Linked DNA regions of Nothobranchius furzeri. The protein of the gene in region 1 interacts with the protein of each later gene in a biochemical or structural test. Links are inferred from orthologs where the notes say so. Each region holds a gene or a part of one and is shown in the gene's direction. Other genes may lie near its edges.

Region 1 (6,108 bases):
CGTCCAGAAGGCATCCTAATCAGATGCCCAAACCACCTCAACTGGCTCATGTGGAGGAGCAGAGGATCTACTTCGAGCCCCTCCCGATATTCCTGAGCTTTTCACCTCATCTTCAAGGGATAGCCTAGCCACCCTGTGGAGAAAACTCCTTTCAGCAGCTTGTATCTGCAATCTTGTTTTTTTGGTCACTACCCAAAGCTAGTGACCATAGGTGAGGGTAGGAACGTAGATCAACCAGTAAATCGAAAGCTGAGCTGGAAGGCATTCTACCCTTTTTCGACTCAAGACCACGGTCTCAGATTTAGAGGAGCTGATGCTTGTCCCAGCTGCTTCACACTCGGCTGTGAACCGCTCCAGGCAAAGCTGGAGATCACGTTCTGATGAAGCCAACAGGACCACATCATCAGCAAAAAGCAGAAACCCGATCCTAAGGACACCACAATGGATCCCCTCAATACCTTGGCCACGCCCAGAAATCCTGTCCATTAAAGTTATGAACAGAATCAATGACAATGGGCAGCCTTGGCGGAGTCCAACTCTCACAGATAAAAGAGCTTGACTTACTGCCAGCAATGTGGACTAAGCTCGGACACCTTTCATACATGGACCTAACAGCCTATTTCAGAAGGCCTGGAGCTCCATACCCGTGAGATACCCCCCACAGGGCCTCTTGAGGGACGCGGTCGAACACCTTCTCCAAATCCACAAACACATATAGATTGGTTGGGCAAACTCCCACCACCCTACAGAACCCAGAAGGGTATAGAGCTGGTCCAGTGTTCCACGGGCAGAACAAAAACCACATTGCTCCTCTTGAATCAAAGGTTAGACAATCCGACAGACTCTTTTTTCGACGACCCCTGAATAGACCTTACCAGGGAGGCACAGGAGTGTGATCTCTCTGTAGTTAGAACACACCCTAAGGTCCCCCTTTTTAAAAATGAGAACCAACGCCCCAGCCTGCCAGTCCAGTGGAACTGCCTCCAATGTCCACGCAATATTGCAGAGCAGCGTCAGCCAACACAGCCCCACAACATCCAGAGCCTTAAGACAAAGAAGAAGAAAATATCATTTCTGTAGCGCCTCTCAAGATAAAAATCATGAGGCGCTTCACAAAAACAAAAACTATGAAAATTGTAAAAATAGAAAAAAAGCATTTTGAAAATGTTTAAGGAACTCCGGGTGGATCTCATCCACCCCTGGAGTCTTGCCATCAAGGAGCTTTTTGACCATCTCAGTGACCTCAGCACCAGTGACTGGAGAGTCCAACCCAAAGTCCCCAAACTCTGCTTCCTCACTGGAAGACGTGCCGATGGGATTGGAGAGGTCTTCAACTACTCCGCCTGCCAATCCACAATGTCCCGAGTCGAGGTCAGCAGCACACGGTTCCCACTATAAAGTGTTGGTAGCGCACTGCTAAAGTCCCCCAGCAGGACGAGGGCATCACCAGAAGGAGCGCTCTCCAGCACTCCCGCCATGTCTCCAAAAACGGTGGGTAGTCTTAACTGCAGTTTGGTGCATAAGCACAAACCACACTAGGACCCGTCCCCCCACACATAGGTGGAGGGAGGCTACCCTCTCGTTCACTTGGGTAGACCCCAACGTACAGGCACCAAGATGGGAGCAACTAGTATGCCCACCTCTGCTTGGTGCATCTCAGCGGGAACAACTCCAGAGTGGTAGAGTGTCCAACCCCTCTCAAGGAAACTGGTTCCGGAGCCAGAGCCATGCGTTCAGGTGAATCTGACTATATCTAGTTGGAACCTCTCAACCTCGCACACAGACTTAGGCTCCTTCCCCACCAGAGAAGTGACATTCAACTTGCCAAGACCCAGCTTCTGTAGCCGAGGGTCAGACCGCCAAGGTCCCCACTCTCGGCTATCACCCGTCACACACTGCACACAACCCCTTTCACCCCTCCCACGAGTGGTGAGCACATGGAAAGGGGGACCCACGTTTCCTCTTCAGGCTGTGCTCGGCTGGGCTCCATGAAAGCCCGGCCACCAGGTGCTCACCAACGTGCCCCATCTCCAGGTCCGGCTCCGGGGGGTGGGTGGTGGTGGTGGTGAGGTGACCCACGTCTGGGCGAGTGAACACCGTTTCCATGTATATTTATATTTAACATTAAACATGCAGCATTCTAAATACTTCCATCCTCCTCCCTTTCAAAGTTCCTAACAATGAGAACATAGAGCTAAGACCTGCATCTCCACATTGGTTGCCTTATCTACTTCCATAACTTCAGAGTGTGTGAGGAGGGAAACACTGAAAAATAATTTCTCATAATCTTGGACACAGAGGAACCTGCCTGTTGTAACAAAGTTCTTCTCTGCGAGACTCTATGATCAAATTTTACATCACATCATCTTCCAGAATTGGGTGTATATTTGATACAAGAAATTACAAGAAACATATCTTGAAACTTTCAGCTGTAAAGTCTGACAACACATTGTTGCAATACAAACTTTTATCCACTAGATGTAGCTACTGATAAAGAAATAAAAGTAAAAAACTTTCACATTTAAAAAATTTTTTTTCAATGCCAGCGAGTTACCTAATCTATGATGACACACAAGTCAAGTGGTAGTTGTAAAAAATCAGTTCAAGGGCAATCTGACAAAATACAAAAGGGGCGTAACAAGATGTGCATTCTTACAGCGCGTAGCAGTTTCAGCCAAGTCATTTTACCATGGCTGGCAGAGAAAGACCACAGAGGGCACAGAGTCCTGACTCAAAACCTAAAGAACTCAAACTAGCACCTTCAGGGAGATGTACAACCTTTAAAAATGAGAAGCAGAATGAAACTGCAAAGACATCAAAAAGACTGGATCAGCAAAAGAAAAACCACACTGAAGATAAGCCATCGGTGCCAATGGCTGGGAAAACAAAAAACAAAGAGGAGATTCACAACCAGCTAGTGATGCCTGAAGAAAATATAAAAGCAAAAACCTGCTCTACTAGGAGAAAATTACAGGACAACCCTCCAGGGGATATGCAGAACACTCAACAAGACACGCCACCAGAGATACAAAAGAGTTTGAAAAAGACATCTCCCAAAGCCAATGGTAAAGCTAAATTACAAGGTCAGAACAAGGACCCAACCGAACTAGAACAACTTCCAGAGAAGACTGCAACACAAACTAAAACACCTGCTGCTATGAAAGCCAAGAAATGTAACGACAAAGTCCTGCAGAAGAGAACAGAGGCACTATTAGTTAAGACTTACAATTCCTCAAAAGACAGGACAGATGACGACGTGGATTGTACTCTTAAGAAGATTCTAGAAAACTTGAAGATTAGGAGTAAGGAACGATCAGATTCATCGCAAGTCATCAATTATTTTATGAAGCATCTGATCGAGTATTTAAAAGACCATTCTATACGTTTTAAAAATGTTAAGGAACCCCTTCGCACTGGAAGTTATTATGAAAATCTGAAGGTAAGTTGAGTTTACTCCCCAAATTCAACAGTGAACATGTGGTTCATGGGGCAGATTGGATTAAAGTCAGCTCCCTATTACATGATCATATTTATGTCTGTACAGATTTCTAATCCTGATGAGTTTGATGTCATGCTGCCCATACCGGTTGAGCGAGTTAATATCGAGCCTTTCGACGACAATGGAGCCTTCTACAGTGTGGCATTGAAACGTGATCCAACTGGTGATGAGAACCCTTTGAAGAAATTCCAGCAAGACAACATTTTGTCTAGTTATGAAATGCTTAAAGAGTTCCGGAAGGAAGTGAAAAAATTTGCAAAAGTCTTTCCAGGTCGGTGGCAAAAATGCATTTTGTAAGTTGCTTTTAACGTCAATATTATCCTAATATACATTATTGATATAATGTAATTTTGCTGTGTATAAAGTACTGAATAAGTGATTCCATGTATAACAGGCAGCATGTTTATGCTTACCATAACTGATTGTTGCAGAATGGGAGATGACGGCAAAGAAACCACGCTGCCCTGCAGTGACTCTGACAAGAAAAGTAGAGTCAGTCATCATTTCTCTAGATGTTGTGCTCTGTCTTGAAGTTAAATCAACCTGGCCAACTTTCACCAAAGATGGTTTTAAAATTGAGGGGTGGCTTGGAACTAAAGCAAAACGGAACTACAAATGGAAGCCATATTACCTTGTCCCAAAATATGAAGGAAGGGGGGATGCAGAAAAAGGTGGAGTCCTTGCAAAAAGTAAGAATGAGAAATGTATTGATACTTATTTCTATGAATGTAACAGGAAATGCCATGTAATAAAGATGAAGAAAAACTGCACCTCGACATATTAAGTCCATTGCCTAAAACTCAACATGAACTCAATTTGTCTCCCGGCATCTAAAATGGTGTCTAACAGATAGTTTTGTTCTCTGTGACACAGATGTTTGGCGGGTTTCCTTTTCTCACATTGAAAAGGACATTATGAAGAATCATGGATCAGAGAGAACGTGCTGTGAAAAGGCTGGAGAGAGCTGCTGCAGGTCAGAATTTTATGAACTTAAAACAACAACAGACCAGCATTGTGCAGAAGGCCTAATGCAAATTTAGATTTAATTAAGGTATGGAGAAAAATAAATATTTCAACAGTTTTCACTTATCACTGAGGTACACAGCAATGGTATAATTTCAGTACAGTTTTTTATAATACTGTTGCAAAATATCTATTTGCAGAAAGTCTAGTACTTCTAGCAATCAGAAGAAAAAAATGTATTTAAATTGTCATCATCATCATATTTGCCTTCAGCTAAGTTTAGTTTTGACTTTAAAGTTGTCAAAATACTTTTTGCAAACAGGAAAAACTGCTTAAAGCTCCTCAAGCATCTTCTGCATCTACTGAAAGAACAAGACTCTTCCTTTGTCAAGTTCTGCTCCTACCACGTCAAGACTATGCTCTTACATGCCTGCTGCTCCAGAACCAAAGATGGTGAATGGAGGGCTTCAGATCTGAGTCACTGCTTCGAGGTCCTTCTGAAGGACTTTGAAAGCCACCTGAGAACTGGTGAACTCTGCAACTTTTTCATTCCCAAACAGAATCTGCTCTCTGGGGTTGGAAAGAACCAATGTATTAAACTTGCTGACTCTATCAAGGAGCAATGTGATAAGGGTTTTCCTGTGTTTAGGAAAGATCTTTGCAACACATAAGTGAATTTAATCTCTTCTGCCAAAACTAGGTTTGAATTGAATCCCAGGTAGAAACTGGGGATCTAAAACAAGTGTTAACTCATGAAAAAGCTTAATCATATTTGCCAAATTCAGTACCCACAAAGGCTTAGTTTTTCAATCAACGTATATATTACAAAAATTGGCTTTTTATTACTGACACTTTTATACTTACAATTATCAGTTGATATTATGCAGTAAATACAGTTGTAGCGACATGAATGGCCTCATTTGTGACCCAAAGGTCACACTTCCTCAGCTAGGTCGAGCTGTCCTGGCTGTACTTTTATTCACAGATTATCCATCACAGGAGACACAAAGTCTGCTGTAAACCATCTTTAATCTGACTGCCTTTTATCTGATTCTGTTCCATCCGCAAGATGAAGGACACGTCAAGATAAAAAAAAATCATTTTAAATAAAATCTTTTCACTGTCTATTACAAGGTTCATAAATAATCATCACGGTTCATTATAAATGTATTTAATTACTGAAATGAATTCTTATTCTTTGGTTAATAATAATTATTATTTATGATAATCAGCAATGTTTGATCAGTGACAATAAGGTCATGTGCACTTATACACATCATGCAGGACACATACATCAGGGTTAAATGTAACTGCTCTCACATGTCTTTGCTCCATAACAAAGCATTCTATCTCTGAGAGGGTGTGTCCTGAGTTTAGCTAAAACCTAAACTCCTCAGTTTAAGTTCAGTTCTTGAGCTCACCAAAATCTCTCCGTGGCACGAGAGTCCCAGAGGATCGGGTCAGCCATTCGACCTCTACTAAGCTGTTCTGTCGCGCTGATTGAATTGCTCCGACAAAACGCCATCTGCAACCAGCTGACGCAAAACTCCTTCAGAGTTATTGATTTTTGAGACGCAACCAGTTTCATCAGTCATTGTGACCCAGAGACATCTCAGGACCGATTTGGTCGCACTAAGGTTCTTCTA
Region 2 (5,978 bases), on another chromosome or scaffold:
CGGAGTATGGGAGTCGTTCCAGACACAAGGCAGTGGCGCTGATTCGGTTAGTCTTTGGATTCCTAATTCCTTGCCTGATGATCGTGTGCTGCTGTGTGGTGCTTGGAGTGAAGCTGAGAAGTTTAACCATCAGATCAAAAAAGCCTTATAAAATCATGGTGGCGCTCATCCTGTCATTTTTCTTCTGTTGGATCCCTTATCATACCTTCATTCTCCTGGAGCTGGACTTTAACAAACACAGCCTGAATGTGCTTGAATCTGGCCTGAAAGTGGGGGTCGCCCTGGCTGCGTCGAACAGCTTCATATCCCCCATTCTCTACGTTTTTATTGGCAGTGACTTCAATCAAACTCTAAAGAGATCGCTGACCTCAAGGTTTGAGGATGCGATGGCAGAAGATCTGCGTACAGCTGGTTACAACCAGTCAATGTCCAGGTCAATGGAAATCCATTAAAATTAGGCTGATACGTTTGTCTTTAACTTAAATTAGGCCTTTAGTGTGCCTAAAATGTAATTATTAGAGATGAGGAGAATAACCGTTTCTCTCATCAAAACAAATACTATTGTAACGGAGTTGAAAACAACTTTTAATCTTGTATATTAGAACAATAAATAAGAAAGGAATGAGAAATAAGACTGTTTCTACAACGTGAATGACTTTTGTTTGTTTTATGTTGTTTTTTTCATGTTTTTGCTAATTGAGGGTAAAAAAAAGAATGTGGCAGCATTTATGATGATTTATTTATAATTAATGTTATAAATCGTAAATTAATAATTTACTAACAAAAATAGATTGTGCCTTTGATTTGTGTATCTGTTTTCATAGAAATAGAAAAGAAACAACCAACTGTGATTGCTGTTGCTTTATGGGTGCGATGGATCAGCAAAAATTACTTTTTAGACATAGTGTCGAAATAAAATTTGTGATTTTTTAAAAATAAGCCTTACCTACAATAAACATTTACAATGATGAAATTTAACTCATAGAAAAAAATTAAAAAATACCAAATATGGGTTGTGCCTATACGTGAGGATTTATTTTTCTCAGCTTTGGGATTTGTGTAACATCTTTCATGAAAATAACTTGGTTTTTGCTTAGAAACAATACTGACATATTTAAAATAGTCAATAAACATGAATTTTAAAAATTAAAAACTAAGTTAAATAGAATATGCAAAATTCTGAGTTTAAGGTGCACATCAGTTTCTGCTCAAAATGGGTTAAATCATTCCAGAATATCCAAAAGAAATTCTCAAAAAAGCTGATTTAAAGTTTCATTCTTGATACGACAAAAGGAGCAAAGAAGGTAAAACCCTTATTTGTTTTATTTAAATTTTATGACTGAATTAACAATATACCATCTAGCAACTAGGGCTGCATGATAGAATAGATTGCGATATCGGCATGTGCAAAACACGTATCACAATGAACAGAAAACATCACAATAAATGGTCAGCTCAAATGCTTGCTACACATAATGCATTTTGTCAATCAAACAGAAGCATATGTTTTTGACAGATCAAATAGAGCCTTACCTATTTGGCATATCGGGTGGATTCTATAGGTTAGATGCCTGCCCCCTAGGCGGACGACACTTGACTTTGATGGCTAACATACAAGTTAGCTTTGTTTTGCTCTTTCTGCTGATTTAGCTTTTCCCAGGATCTACTGATTGCCTTGTCTTATTAGTTGTCTTTTCCTTTTTCCTCACATCTTTTGATCACAATTTTTGCTTTGCCCATTTTCTATATTTTTCTATTTCGTTGTATTTTTTATTTTTATTTATTTATTTTTGTTTATTTCTAGTCATATCATCATGGAGATATTAATCGCTGTTATCGCGCATTGCAGGTTTTCCTAATATCGTGCAACAGTACTAGCTACATGTTTCTGGGATACCCCCGTATGTACAGTCTATGGATACCCCTCAGACAAACATTATCTTGGCGCATAAGCAAAAAATCACTCTTATAGAAGGAATTAAACATCAGTCTACAACCAACTTCTTCACAAACCTATGTCAGAAACAATAAATTCCATAATTATGAGAAGACATTGTTTGTGCAACATTCTCCATCACAAGAGTAACTATTAGTAAGTTTTTTGTTTTTGTGTATCTACTTTTCTTTACGTCACTAATCCGGACACAAGGTAACCCCACCCCCTTTAGAAATAGCCACGCCTTTTAAAGAAACAGCCACGTTTTTTTTTAGTCCTACTCTTTTTTAGGGCTAACACCCTGCGGAAGTGTTGCAACCAGCTGTAAGGCTATTTTCGCAACAAGTCATAATTAAGTTTTAATGAGGCTATGTTACAAAATGTATGTTGAAATATTCCTTTAGCCACTGTAATAATTGTATATGTGGTTCGGTTTACGCCTCAGTTCGTTTAGCCTTTCTCCTAGCTTGCTAGCTGCTAACGGTAGCATAGCTATCAGATGACACAAAGTTAGCTTTTCCTTTCTTTTATTCAGGTTTCTTAGTGGGAGACCACTTCTGTCAGTTCCTGTCACTTTCTTATGTGTTTGACAGGAACGAACAGAGCCATCCCAACCGTATTAGCTTGAATATTGGACCGACTTTTAGCAAATAAATGGCCGCCGCTGCCCCCTCTCCACCAGTCTCTGGCTCCACCGTCTCGGCTCCTGAAAACTCCGGCCCGGGATCCAGTAGCTCGGCAGCGGCCGACGGAGGCAGCCAGGACAGCACCTTTGAATGCAACATATGCCTGGACACAGCGAAGGATGCCGTGATCAGCTTGTGTGGCCACCTTTTCTGGTAAGATTTAAATATGTTACTTATGTTTACATTGTGAAATCAGAAACCACCTCAGTTTTAGCGGCTGGACACAAGTGAACTAAACTCAGCAGTACAGCATGAACCAAAATGTTGTCTCCGGTTTTACCACTTCAATTAAACTGTGCGGAAAAAACAGTTTTAAGTTCTACCAGGTCTGTCTAAGAAGAAAGTATCATTTCTATAGCGCCTCTCAAGATAAAAATCACGAGGCGCCTATGAGCCATTTATATTCCTAACATCAATAATAAAAATACTTATTTCACAGTTTGCTTCAGCAAAAATGTTTGAAGATTGCACGAGAATACAGTTTCACTATTGTTTTTAGTGTTTTTCATTTTATATGACTAATCAGAAAAAGTTTACATTTTTTTAAAGTTCTGGAACATCTAATTAATCCTCTTATTTTGTCAAATAAAGTGGCAGTTGCCAATTTACTAGCTGATTAGGTAACTTATCTGTTTTCTTTTAGCTGATGTTTTTGTGAAATCCTTGAATCTCTTTCAAAACAACATTTTAGTCATTTTTATGTCCAAAAATTTGCTGATGAATTAGCAGCCAAAGTGGTCTGATCAGTGTTCATACAAAGTAATTATTTGTTAATTTTCTCTTAAATGTTATCCAGTATGTTTGAATTAGTATGAAATATTCAAGTAGAATTAGTGTTTATTTTTATTGTCCTTAATTGGGGTTTTTTTGACAAGCAGTTTATCTAATGTTTGTTTTCATGAATATTTTCCAATGTGGTTTTTTTTTTTTTACTAATCCTGTTTTTTTTTTTTTTTTCACTTCCATGAACTTCATTTGCTCCTGATGTTCAGCTGGCCATGTTTGCATCAGGTAAGCCTGACTTAGATTTTTTTTCATTTACAAAGATGTTCCCCTAGCTAACCCGTTGACTCGTTAACATCCGTTTATCTTCATGCAGTGGTTGGAGACTCGACCCAACAGACAAGTGTGTCCGGTGTGTAAAGCTGGCATCAGCCGGGACAAAGTAATCCCCTTGTATGGGAGGGGAAGCACGGGTCAACAGGATCCTAGGTAGATGCTAAAAAGTGTTGACATGATTTATTGTGTCATCACACTTCTACATTAACACACTTGTGGTGCAAGAATTATCATTATGTTAGTGTTTTACGGTGTATATCTGATTTGATGCTTCAAAGGGAAAGGACGCCCCCTCGACCACAAGGACAGAGACCAGAGCCGGAAAACCGTGGTGTAAGTACACAAACAAATACATCTGCACAGTTAAACCATCATTGTGAATAACTACATTAAGTTTCGTGTAAGCTCTAGAGTATTATAATGAGCTCATGATGAAACCGTGAGTCAAAAATGATGTAGGTGCTGCCGTTTAGACCTGTTTTATTCATGACTGAAAAGCCATTTCCCTCTGGGACCCATTACTAGTGAACAGCTGAGATAAAGCCCCTCATGAGAATCACTACAACTTTTACTGCTCATTGTGTCACACTTTTTTTTTCTTACTTTGTTATATGACACGTTTTCATTTTTTTCTAAAAATCCCTGCAGGGATTTCAGGGATTTGGCTTCGGAGATGGAGGTTTCCAGATGTCCTTTGGAATCGGTGCCTTCCCGTTCGGTATTTTTGCCACGGCTTTTAACATCAATGATGGACGACCTCCTCCAGGTGGTTACACATTTCCTCTGTGTTCTTTCATTTCTTATGAAAACAATTTACCCAGTAACTTCTGTTGAACTTTCACCCACACAGCAGCTCCTGGGACGCCGCAGCACACAGATGAACAGTTCCTGTCTCGACTCTTTCTGTTTGCTGCTCTGGTCATTATGTTTTGGCTGCTGATTGCATAAATGCATGGGGGGAAATGACAGAAGTGCGGCTTTGTGAGGTTTCCGTCTCTTAATCTTTGGCAAAGTTTGGACATTTAAACAGCAGGTATGATAAATGAACAGGCTAAAGGTTAAAGCTGCAGACTTTTTGCTGCTCCGAAGGAAAAAATGCATGTGAAGATCGGGAAGTTGTGTATTCTCTTCACTTCTTGCTGCAAAAATCTCAGAAATGAATTAATGAAAAAAATATATATTTTGACTCACTGGTTGAATAACTACTTTGTAATCTGCACAAGAGCAACCAGACACTGACTTGTGAATCTTCAGCTATTTATTGTGAAGCAAAAATAATTTTTTGCACAAAACTTTAATGCAACTTAATGATTCTAATGATTAAGATGTTTGTTTCCTGGAGAAATGACCAATAATACCTTTGTGTTTTTGGCCAATAGCAGCTAAGCTAAACCAGTATCTTAGCCGATTTTTTTAACTTCTTTCAGATGGAAGCGAAATTCAAAGAACTTTATTTCAAACAGTGTTCGTCTCCAGACTTTATAATCTTTTATTTCTACTCCAGTTTCTGTATTTCACTGTAATTATATGTAAAATATTGTAGACTTCATAATCAAAATGAAGAATGGCTGCTGGAAAAAACATGTTTCCGAATGTGAGTTTTTTTTTTCTACTGACGGTGAAGCTTTGTGTGATTTTAATTTGGGTTCATTAACTGTGTATTCTACAAAAGTGTGAAAGTGCAGGCTAGAGACAGTTCAAGATTTGTCCTGTGTTCCTGCCGCTGTCCTTTTCTCTTGACTCTCATCAGGTGAAGTGCTGAATTCTGCTTCATACATGATCTGCTGGATCTTCATCTTTGTTTCGCACCTGGTCTGGGGTGCGAGTCGTTTCAGAGCAGGAACGAAGCTCAGCAGAAACAGTTCGTCCTCGTCCCGCGGCCTGGACGAAAACGAGGTGGTGTGGTCTTTCAACAGCCATTTTGATTGGGAGTGTGTACTTTGAGGAGAAGAGGGTGATGGCGGCTCAGACATGATCTTTCGTTTCTGTCCGTTGTTGCTGACCGGGATCACCTGTGGGCCGGGGGGGGTCTTGGCTACGACGGCCAGCTGGATATCTTGAGACAGAGCAGGAAGCTGCGTCACAAACGCCACCTGGGGCTTCGCCTCAGGCAGACTCAGCGCTACCTTAGTGATATTCTGGGGTGTTTTGACAGACTCGGACAGAGTGGTTTCCTCATTTCCCAATACGTTGTCAGGGTTTTTACGTTCTTCTTCGGTGTTGCCACACATGTCAGTCACACCAACCCTCGATCCAGTGAAGGGGGCAATAAAGTTCATGAGCTGTCGGTATTTCCA

Evidence for each region.
Region 2: of the proteins of cgasa (region 1) and rnf185, one has a biochemical effect on the other in vitro, tested with the Homo sapiens proteins (2 studies listed by BioGRID). The link is inferred for Nothobranchius furzeri from reciprocal best matches to the Homo sapiens genes CGAS and RNF185.

The regions. Positions count from the first base shown.
Region 1 is NC_091752.1:28,109,270-28,115,377, forward strand, and holds the start of cgasa (cyclic GMP-AMP synthase), read left to right. Parts: upstream 1-2,643; 5' UTR 2,644-2,689; coding exon 2,690-3,439; intron 3,440-3,544; coding exon 3,545-3,770; intron 3,771-3,930; coding exon 3,931-4,188; intron 4,189-4,372; coding exon 4,373-4,472; intron 4,473-4,784; coding exon 4,785-5,133; 3' UTR 5,134-6,108. UniProt on the Homo sapiens protein: Nucleotidyltransferase that catalyzes the formation of cyclic GMP-AMP (2',3'-cGAMP) from ATP and GTP and plays a key role in innate immunity.
Region 2 is NC_091746.1:52,068,801-52,074,778, reverse strand, and holds rnf185 (E3 ubiquitin-protein ligase RNF185), read left to right. Parts: upstream 1-2,166; 5' UTR 2,167-2,260; exon of another isoform or gene 2,261-2,529; 5' UTR 2,530-2,590; coding exon 2,591-2,775; intron 2,776-3,614; coding exon 3,615-3,633; intron 3,634-3,721; coding exon 3,722-3,834; intron 3,835-3,959; coding exon 3,960-4,014; intron 4,015-4,329; coding exon 4,330-4,447; intron 4,448-4,531; coding exon 4,532-4,629; 3' UTR 4,630-5,264; downstream 5,265-5,978. Other genes in the region: chemerin-like receptor 1, read left to right, coding at 1-452; transcription factor Adf-1, read right to left, coding at 5,379-5,978. UniProt on the Homo sapiens protein: E3 ubiquitin-protein ligase that regulates selective mitochondrial autophagy by mediating 'Lys-63'-linked polyubiquitination of BNIP1.